Linked DNA regions of Saccharomyces cerevisiae S288C. The gene in region 2 interacts genetically with the main gene of each other region. Each region holds a gene or a part of one and is shown on either strand. Other genes may lie near its edges. The genes, in order: AUA1, YCR102C and MGA1.

The links.
Region 1: mutations in YCR102C (region 2) and AUA1 together harm fitness more than expected from each alone (negative genetic interaction), as found in Saccharomyces cerevisiae (one large-scale study listed by BioGRID).
Region 3: mutations in YCR102C (region 2) and MGA1 together harm fitness more than expected from each alone (negative genetic interaction), as found in Saccharomyces cerevisiae (one large-scale study listed by BioGRID).

What each region holds. Positions count from the first base shown.
Region 1 is NC_001138.5:113,005-115,862, reverse strand, and holds AUA1 (Aua1p), read right to left. Parts: upstream 874-2,858; coding exon 589-873; downstream 1-588. Other genes in the region: WWM1 (Wwm1p), read left to right, coding at 120-755; hexose transporter HXT10, read right to left, coding at 1,878-2,858. UniProt on the Saccharomyces cerevisiae protein: Involved in ammonia regulation of the GAP1 permease.
Region 2 is NC_001135.5:303,810-307,216, reverse strand, and holds YCR102C (uncharacterized protein), read left to right. Parts: upstream 1-1,749; coding exon 1,750-2,856; downstream 2,857-3,407.
Region 3 is NC_001139.9:985,915-989,676, reverse strand, and holds MGA1 (Mga1p), read right to left. Parts: upstream 1,629-3,762; coding exon 258-1,628; downstream 1-257. Other genes in the region: 6-phosphogluconolactonase SOL4, read right to left, coding at 2,938-3,705.

The DNA.
Region 1 (2,858 bases), on a different chromosome or scaffold from region 2:
GAGCCGGCAGCTGGAAGAAAAAGTTTACTTTAGTCATGATAATCAAAAGACTCTTTCTGAATTGCTTTTATCACTCACTACAAGAGAGTCGATAAAAAAACCCAAAACATTTTAAAGTAATGGCTCAAAGTAAAAGTAATCCTCCTCAAGTGCCTTCTGGCTGGAAGGCTGTTTTTGATGATGAATACCAGACTTGGTATTATGTAGATTTATCTACGAACAGCTCTCAGTGGGAACCACCAAGGGGAACAACATGGCCAAGACCCAAAGGTCCTCCACCAGGTGTTAACAATGAGAAGAGTTCTCGTCAACAGGCAGACCAGGCTCCTCCACCTTATTCTTCTCAATCAACACCGCAAGTGCAAGCAGGGGCCCAAGCACAGCAACCTCGTTACTATCAGCCTCAACAGCCTCAGTACCCTCAATACCCTCAACAGCAGCGTTACTATCCTCAACAAGCCCCTATGCCAGCAGCAGCACCACAGCAAGCATACTATGGAACTGCGCCAAGCACCAGTAAAGGTAGTGGACACGGCGGTGCCATGATGGGTGGTTTACTTGGTGTTGGTGCGGGTTTGTTAGGTGGAGCTATGCTAGAACACGCATTTGACGACCACAACTATGACGGACCAGACACTGTCGTTGTCGAGAACAATTACTACGGTGATGATGCTGGTGGGTCCGACGGCGGATTTGATGATGCTGGTGGGTTCGACGGCGGATTTGATGATGGATTTGACGGTAGTGACTTTTAATGTTATCAAGACTTTTTGGACAAGGACGATAAAATGATATAAGCTCATCAAATCTATATTGCTTGCTGCCATCTAAATATGGATACATACAGATATATACTTGCAAAGATCGGTCCATTATACTACATAGAAAGCAATTAAAAGATAAAAAAACCCATCATGATATTCTACGCTTTTTTACTTAGCCATGTTGTTGAATGTAGCTTCAATTACTTCTGTCTGTCTAATTTATTGCTACTTTTTCACTTCTAAGTGAACCATCACAACACATATAGCATAGTCGAGAAAAAAATCAATAGCTATTACTAGATGATAGATACCGTATATGCCACCTACAGCTTACTAGAGAGCTTCCGGAATGATAGTATCATTTATCAAACTACCGGTATGGTTGTGTATTGACTGCGCCTCTCAATCTATGAAGCAGCACCACGCCTTATCGTGGCTATGCGCGATATGACCGAGCTTTACAACATACTTTTCAATAAGCCGTTCTTTGAATAATGGACCCTTTCCTATAACCTAGTGCGCGTTTAAGGTGTTTTGTTCCAATAATAGAAGCACCTATCCACATACTTCACATACAGATACACTAACTAATACCACCGATGAAGCGGAAACAATGATAAATGCAAAGCCTTGGAACATCGACAGGACTACCCGAAAATAATATGTGTGTTTACTAACAACGCAGTAATAAAGCTTTCATAACGGTAAAAAGAGGTAAGATCCTGTATAAACTGGTCTCTAGTTACTTATATCTCAAAACATTATATATGTCGATGGTACAAGTTTGACCTTACATTGCCTGATTTTTTCAGAAAGATAGCAGGTAGTTGTTATACTACAGTAATTTACTATAGCTAATCTTCATTTTAAAGTGCCCACTTCTTTTTTTTTTTGAAATTATTTCTGAGTAGTAGCTAGCTTATAAACTACTTATATGCATTTATTCACCGGCGTCGCAAATGTGTCCGTCTTATTTTTTTTAATTTTTTTTTCAATTTGTGACGCCATTAATAAAGGCTATTATATAAAACCAATCTCCATGAAATAGAAGTAAAGCATCAATCCATTATCTGTTGTTATTTCTGTTTACCAGAGTACAAGAATATTTAGAAATTATTTACTATCAACAATAACTAATGGTGTACTGCTTGTTGGTTGTGGTGTTCTTCTAGAACTGGGAATCCAACCTCCGGACTTCCATGGCTTTATTCTTTCTTCGTACATTTCATTAACTTCCTCCAGAGTTAATCCCTTTGTTTCGCAAACAAAGAAGAAAACGTAGAAGTACGAAAAGATTAAGCAACCCATGAAAACATAGCCATAAGAAAATCCTATGGATCTAGTGATAAAGGGTGTGAAAAATCCAATCAAGAAACCCCACATCCAGTTCGCACCAACCGCAATGGCCATGGCACGATTTTTAACTCTTAATGGATAAGTTTCTGCCACAATGACATAGGCGATAGGAGCCCAAGTAATGGCAAAAGAGAAAATGAAGAAACAAGTAAAAACGATCATAACATTACCAGCACTTTGCGAAGAAGGTTGGTCTTTCCCTTGTGGCCATAATCTAGTGACGCCAACGGTGGCGAATATGACGAAACAAATTGCCATCGAGGCAGACCCCCACAATAAACATTTTCGACGCCCAAATTTATCCACAATGTATAGTGCAACAAATGTAGAAGCAAAATTAACAGCCCCAAGGACAATGGAAGTCTCGAAAGAGTCTTGCATTCCAACAGCATTGAAAATGGTCGTGCCGTAGTAGAAAAAATAATTACAGCCAGTAAGCTGTTGCAGTGACTGGATAACGATTCCCATTATTACCCTTGGTAGAATTGCTCCTTTATTTGAGAAGAGTTCGTGCCAACTGGCATTTCCAACAGCCCTTTCTAATTCCATATTTGCAACTATAGTATCAAACTCAAAAACAACGCCTGGATCAGTAACTGTGACCTTGTTTGATTTGGCCAAAGACCTTCTAGCTTCTTCATACTTACCTTTTTCTACTAAATATCTGGGCGATTCCGGAACCATAACCATTCCAATCACCATAAAGATTGCCCACGCAAAACACAAACCCAAGGGAAC
Region 2 (3,407 bases):
AATTACGTAATTGTAGCCGCTGAAGGCGGATGGTATTGAGAGAAGTTGATGTTCAAAGTATCGTGTATGATAAAAATAGAATTGTAACCAGTTCGTAGTAGCAGTATTAAAACTTTGATTCCGAGATGTAATCCCTCTTTTCTAGCCAGATATGAAGGAAAAAAGTGTAAGGGTAGTTGAGAGCGCTACTTTATTTTATTCTATTTTAAAAATGTTCTCTAGGAGAGGTGTATTAATAGTTGGTACTCCATGTAGCTTCTAAGTCAAAAGAAATGTCTCTATCTTTATGGTAACGGTTCATCGTTAGAGCTCAATTGTGCTTCTTGGATGTATTTCCAAAGTCCCACGTTTAATAACCCACACAACATAAATGTCCTTGAATATAAAAAATTTCGAAAGCTCCCCGTAAAGAATGCTTGATAATCAGCTCCATCAAAGAAATACTTTTTGTTCTTCCAAACTTTTCCTCTCAGCAAATACATATTTATTTCCTTTGCAACCACTTTCTAGAGAATTCATAATAGTTGATAAAAAAGGCATTTTGTCTTCTATGTTCATAATTTCAATTCTTGAATTTTGGAAATCGTGAAATGTTTCGAGAAACCGCCTTCAATAATTAGAAAACAAAATAAAAGATTACAGTTAGGCCACTCAAAAATACAATTCAGATAAGAAAGGTGCGATAGTGGGGAATAAGAATTGGAAATCCGCTTGATAATCAGGGAAAACTTAAAGAACGGGGTGTTAAAAGTCTGTGAAGTATAGATCAAACTCGCACTAGCTAGCAATACTCATGAGAACCTAGGTGAGTGTAAAGCAGTGAACCTTCTTTAGAAAGCAGAGAAAAATCCTCCAAGTTAACAGTCTTCCATACTTACTCAGTATGGATCAAGTTCCACAGTTTGTCCACTTCTGTAGAATAAACTTGTAGTGCTTTTCCGATGAAAAGGGATAGAGTCTTTAAAAGACTTGATCTTGGCATTTTTATCCTCCTTCAAGCAGAATGGCTCCAGTAGAGTTGTTCTGAACGCTTCTGGGCAGTGAGCAGCATTGAAGAAAAAGTACTCAGCATTCCAAGCTTTGTCTTCATATAATTATAAATTAAAACTCATAGCCACCAATTTCCAGGTTTTGGTCGCAATATGCTGCAGAATCAATGGCTTGTTTCGTTACTATACTGGTCCGACGGAGTTTACTTTACTCTAAATTTGCTGAAATAGCAAGGCCACACGCCATACAATTAACAATAGTTCATTCAGTTGAAAGGTTTCCGAGATAGAAAGTGCGGTAGTAGAGAAGAACAATAAACGTATCAAACTTTGCGCAGTCATGGAATTTCCAGGAAACATTTTTAGGTTTTCATATGACAGCAGTTCCTGTCCGAGAGCTGTGCCTTTCTTGTCTCAGCTGACTAAGATGTCTCGGATCCGCCCGGCTGGCGCGCGGCTCCGTCTAGTGGGATAGGCTTTCAACACATAGGAAACCCTTCAGATGATGAGAACACATCGAATCCCAGAGAGTAATATCACCAAGAATAAAGCAACCATGATAGACAATATTACTAAGTGTTCCTCAACAGATATTGAGAAAAGTTCTTATAAAGCGGGCAGGCTTTTTTCTATTTTTTTCTTTTTCTTTATCTAGCTTAAGATCCTTCTAACCATATTCTATAAAATGGCAAGCTGAATACAGATTATCAACGACAATTACATATAACCTACAAACAGGCAAGTTGCAATTCCAGAAACCATGAAGGCTGTCGTCATTGAAGACGGTAAAGCGGTTGTCAAAGAGGGCGTTCCCATTCCTGAATTGGAAGAAGGATTCGTATTGATTAAGACACTCGCTGTTGCTGGTAACCCGACTGATTGGGCACACATTGACTACAAGGTCGGGCCTCAAGGATCTATTCTGGGATGTGACGCTGCCGGCCAAATTGTCAAATTGGGCCCAGCCGTCGATCCTAAAGACTTTTCTATTGGTGATTATATTTATGGGTTCATTCACGGATCTTCCGTAAGGTTTCCTTCCAATGGTGCTTTTGCTGAATATTCTGCTATTTCAACTGTGGTTGCCTACAAATCACCCAATGAACTCAAATTTTTGGGTGAAGATGTTCTACCTGCCGGCCCTGTCAGGTCTTTGGAAGGGGCAGCCACTATCCCAGTGTCACTGACCACAGCTGGCTTGGTGTTGACCTATAACTTGGGCTTGAACCTGAAGTGGGAGCCATCAACCCCACAAAGAAACGGCCCCATCTTATTATGGGGCGGTGCAACTGCAGTAGGTCAGTCGCTCATCCAATTAGCCAATAAATTGAATGGCTTCACCAAGATCATTGTTGTGGCTTCTCGGAAACACGAAAAACTGTTGAAAGAATATGGTGCTGATCAACTATTTGATTACCATGATATTGACGTGGTAGAACAAATTAAACACAAGTACAACAATATCTCGTATTTAGTCGACTGTGTCGCGAATCAAAATACGCTTCAACAAGTGTACAAATGTGCGGCCGATAAACAGGATGCTACCGTTGTCGAATTAACTAATTTGACAGAAGAAAACGTCAAAAAGGAGAATAGGAGGCAAAATGTCACTATTGACAGAACAAGACTGTATTCAATAGGCGGCCATGAAGTACCATTTGGTGGCATTACTTTCCCTGCTGACCCAGAAGCCAGGAGAGCTGCCACCGAATTCGTCAAGTTCATCAATCCAAAGATTAGTGATGGGCAAATTCACCATATTCCAGCAAGGGTCTATAAGAACGGGCTTTACGATGTTCCTCGTATCCTGGAAGACATTAAAATCGGTAAGAACTCTGGTGAAAAACTAGTTGCCGTATTAAACTAGATGACGAACAGATATTATTTTTCTTTTGTATACACAGTTATTACGTATGTTAGAGTGACTTGGTTTTTTTTTTTTTAATGAAATTGTTTGTTATTGATCACGCCTTGTAGGGGAAACAGATGAGAACAGTGAAAATCATAACTCATTATGTGATTTGTTGTGCGTCACCCTTCCATGATTATATATCCTTACTATCTACTATCCAACTACTACATATCTATTGAACTCATATGTACCAAGCACATAAAATTATGCACCTATTTCCATTGGCAAAGACTTGGCGAAATTTAATACACTGTAATAATATCCGGCGAAGCTCTTTAAGAATTCTTACCTATAATAGCGGCTCGCTGTCCGAACGATTGCGCCGCACTTTTCTGCCTCTTACATTCCCTTTTCCTAAGGCGATAAGCAGGCTGAATGGAAACTACGATATAACGCAGTAGAGGTCCCCCAAGAGCTGGAAAGAAAATATTGGTTTGATAGCCAGCACTATTCTATCCAGTGGGCTCTTGTACCATTTTCTGTGGTATGGCTTTGATTCAACTGCA
Region 3 (3,762 bases), on a different chromosome or scaffold from region 2:
ATTGGAGAACAAGCGCAGCCGGAATGAAAAAGGCCATAATTTATGTTAAATTAATCATAAGAAAAATTGATAATAGCAAACATAGCTTGTGATTCTTTTTCTTTCGGTTTGTGAAATAATTGCATTCTTCCCCCTTGTATCTAGTATGCAAAAATATGGAGAATGTTCGTTCTTCCCTACGTTCACTGAATGTTCCTTGGTATCAACAGCGGTAACAGTTTGTTCAGTTGGATGCGATGTGTTCTGTTGAAAATAATTCAGTAAGATGCTGGTTTAGTGGCGACTTCACCTTTCGTGATTATAGGTATACTCTTGGGAATTATGCTGGACGTCAGAGAAGTTAAGGTCGATGATGTATTCGTAGTCTCTTGAAGGGGTAGGGCAGTTGTTTTAACAGATTGCATAGACATCCATTTACTTTCAAGTTGAATGATTTCCTCCTTGGAATTCTGTAATAGGGATAAGCTTGTTCGAAGGTCTTTGTTCATGGCATCATTAGTTAGAGTTTTATTTTCATCTTGCGATGCGCTGTTAATATGTTTTTCTATCAAATCAGTGATTGTTGATAGAGAGTTCTTTAAAGTTTGTATATGGTTATCCAAAGCTTGCCTTTCACTTATATTGCTTTTTTTGGGTAGTGTTACATTATTATTACAAACTCCTAAAGCAGGTGAGTTAGAAGCAGAGTTCGAAAGAGAGTTCATCATTGAGGGAAATGGAGTGGAGTAACTGCTATATGGCGGGACTGTAGGGAGCGGTTGCTGCTGCTGCTGCTGCTGCTGGGCAAAAGCTCCAGGATGATACGGCATTGGGTAATTAACAATTGGCAAGGAAGTTGTTTTCAGATCATCTGTCGAAGATAGTGTTCCTGATTTCTTCATCGGAGGTCCAGATAATGCTTGTGGAGAAAGTACTTGTTGCGGCTGCTGAGGCTGGACTATGCTATCTTGGGTGGAAAATTGATTGGGATAGTCATAAGAATTCATCATCCTCGCCGAGATGCTTTGCCTTCGCATCATGTTCACCGTGGGTTGTTGAGGGGGCAGTGAAGATATTAGGTAAGGTCCACTACTTTGTTGCTGTTGCGGTATACTGATATGTGGAGGACTTTGGGATGTTGAGTAATGGACGGGACTGCCCATAAACATGTTTGATGGTTCTCTTGCAGAAACTGGTCCGGATTGCTGAGAGAGAACATTTAACCTCGAAGCATCAACGTAACTGACAGATATTGGTGACAGTATATTCTTTCTTTTACCATCTTTTCCCACACCAGTGCTCTTTCTTTGGATTTTATTCAAGATACCGGCGTTGGCCTCTTTGAAGAAGAATCCAGATGGGTGGGTAAATTTCCATTCAACAAGTTCTTTAACGTTACCATTGTTGGCAGAAGATTGGTCTGGGGAAGGATGAGATAGTTTATGAAACCCGTACATGTGTAGTTGACGAACAAAACTATTGACATTTCCATGTTTGAAATAACGCTTCAGAACATGTGTACTAAAATTAGGGTCATATGGCTTCAAAAAAAATACCGTGTTATCAGTCGGAGACCAGTATATCCATTTATTTACTTCCGGTTCCAGAAGAATTGCATGAAGTTGGTGGACGAAAGTTTTAGGTTGCATGTGGCCACCGGTTCTCTGAGCTATTGTATTTTATGGCGTGGGTGAAAATTCAATATAGGGGTTACAGCTGCCTAACCTTAAAGCGTGTAAAGGAGATCTAGATCTTCTGCAATGATCAGCTACTACCAATATATATATATTGGAAAAAAAGGTAAGTAACGACGTATCAAGATAAAACCCCAAAGGAAGAAAGATGCAACCGAAAGGAAAGCATGGAAAACTTCGAGCTATTCACTACCTGATTACTTCAACGTTAATGAATACCCTAAACGTGATAAGTTTGTGCTTTTCCTTCGATATGGATATCTACTGCCTTCCATTTTCTGCTCTACGGGTCAACAACTGAAAGATTATTTTTTCGGTTCCTCCTTTTTCTTCTCGAAAAAAAGCTTAAATCTTTCAAAGACAAAAAAGAAAGATTGCACCAAATCAGCGCAGAAGGCAGCAACCAGAGAGACGGGGGCGCAGAGTCAACATCATATACGTAACAAGTTGTTCAGGGCGGATCGCTTCACGTCATACAAAGGCGCGGATATGCACTAATCTGCAAATCTCGCAGTCACCGTAAGCCCAAGCCAAAGCGAACCATCGGTGCTAAATCGGCCCGCCCGACTGAGACGCACAGATTCCTACGCAGGCTCTCCTTGTGCCGCCCACGGAGTATTCCGTTCACCCAAAAAAAAATAAAAAACGAAAGGGGCAGACCAGGGGCAGACCAAAGGAGGGGAATTACCGGCGTGGCTAATATTCCTTATTTTGCTTAGAGCACCTTCCGTTCCGCCGCCGCTGCTTCCTAATCTGGGGCCAGGAAACGTCTGCGGCGGGCCAGATTCATTCTCGAGCCAGGAGAACTGCGTAGCTTGCGATAAAGGGGCGAAATTAACCCTTCCATGCAGCTGGCCCGAAGCAATTTTATATTTCGTGTGCTCGCCAAAAAAAAAAACCCTGCTGCGTCCCTTATTCTATTTCCATGGAAATTTCCGTTAGCGCTGTTTTGCAGGTGGTTCCGAGTCATAGCATTAAGATTAACGCGTTGTAACGGTATCACCGGGTGAGCTATGTTTTTCTTTTAAGTTATGCAACCTTCGCGGAGGCTCGGTTGCTTACGGAACTTTTAAGGTTGAGTTTGCCTTCGGTACCCCTTTCCTTTCTGCTGTCAATTCTTCTAGAAGAACTGGGTTTATGCTTCGGGAGTAAGCTCCAACATACGCTGTAAAGAAGACAGTTGTCATTTATTTATTATTATGTAATGTAATTAAGGTTGTCTGTCGTGATTAACGGAGCCAGTTTCGTATAAAGACGAGTGTAATTAGCAGTTTTCAGGAATCAAGGCGCCAGCTTCGTCGTCGAGAAACCAAGTTACTTTGGTTCCGACCATTTCATTAACCAGCACACTAGGTAGTTCGCTATTTTTTACGATTAACACGTCATGCATGATAGCCTTTTTAGCAGCTCCCCTAACGAGAAAGCACACACTTTTAGCCTCGGCTACTACTGCTAATGTAAAGGTGATCCTGTCCTTGGGTGCCTTGGGCGAATTATTACACCATAAAACCTTGCGGTCCATCTCTTCTACAAGGTAATTAAATTCAACCCCGGGAAACAACGAGCATGTATGTCCATCTTCTCCGCATCCGAGTAAGATTAGGTCGAATGATGCAGGCAGCATGGAAGCGTATTCTTCGGCAATCTTTCTATTGGCCGTTTCACCGCCACCGATTAATGATTCGTTGATAGTGTATACAGTGGGGCCTAAGTTCAATTGGTTGCCCTGATGCACTAGCGGGTCCAAAACTGTTTTTTTGAACTGACCATAGTTACTTTGCGGATCCTCAAATGGAACCAATCTTTCGTCACAGAAGAAGATTCTCCATTGTGGCCACTTAATATGTGGAAAAATGTTTTTGTCATTTACCAAACTTTCGTACAGCGCTTGGTTCATCGATCCTCCACTGATGGCGATATTGAACACTGCATCAGCGTCGCCCGTTAACGCCGATTCTTGCTTTTCAAGGATAAACTTGCCGAATTCGTGTATGAGGCTTTTCTTTTCGCTAAACCTTTGTAATTTCACCATTTTTCTTGAGGTGGTTGTGGATTATTTGATGAATGGCATTCTTTGTTTGGAAAACTG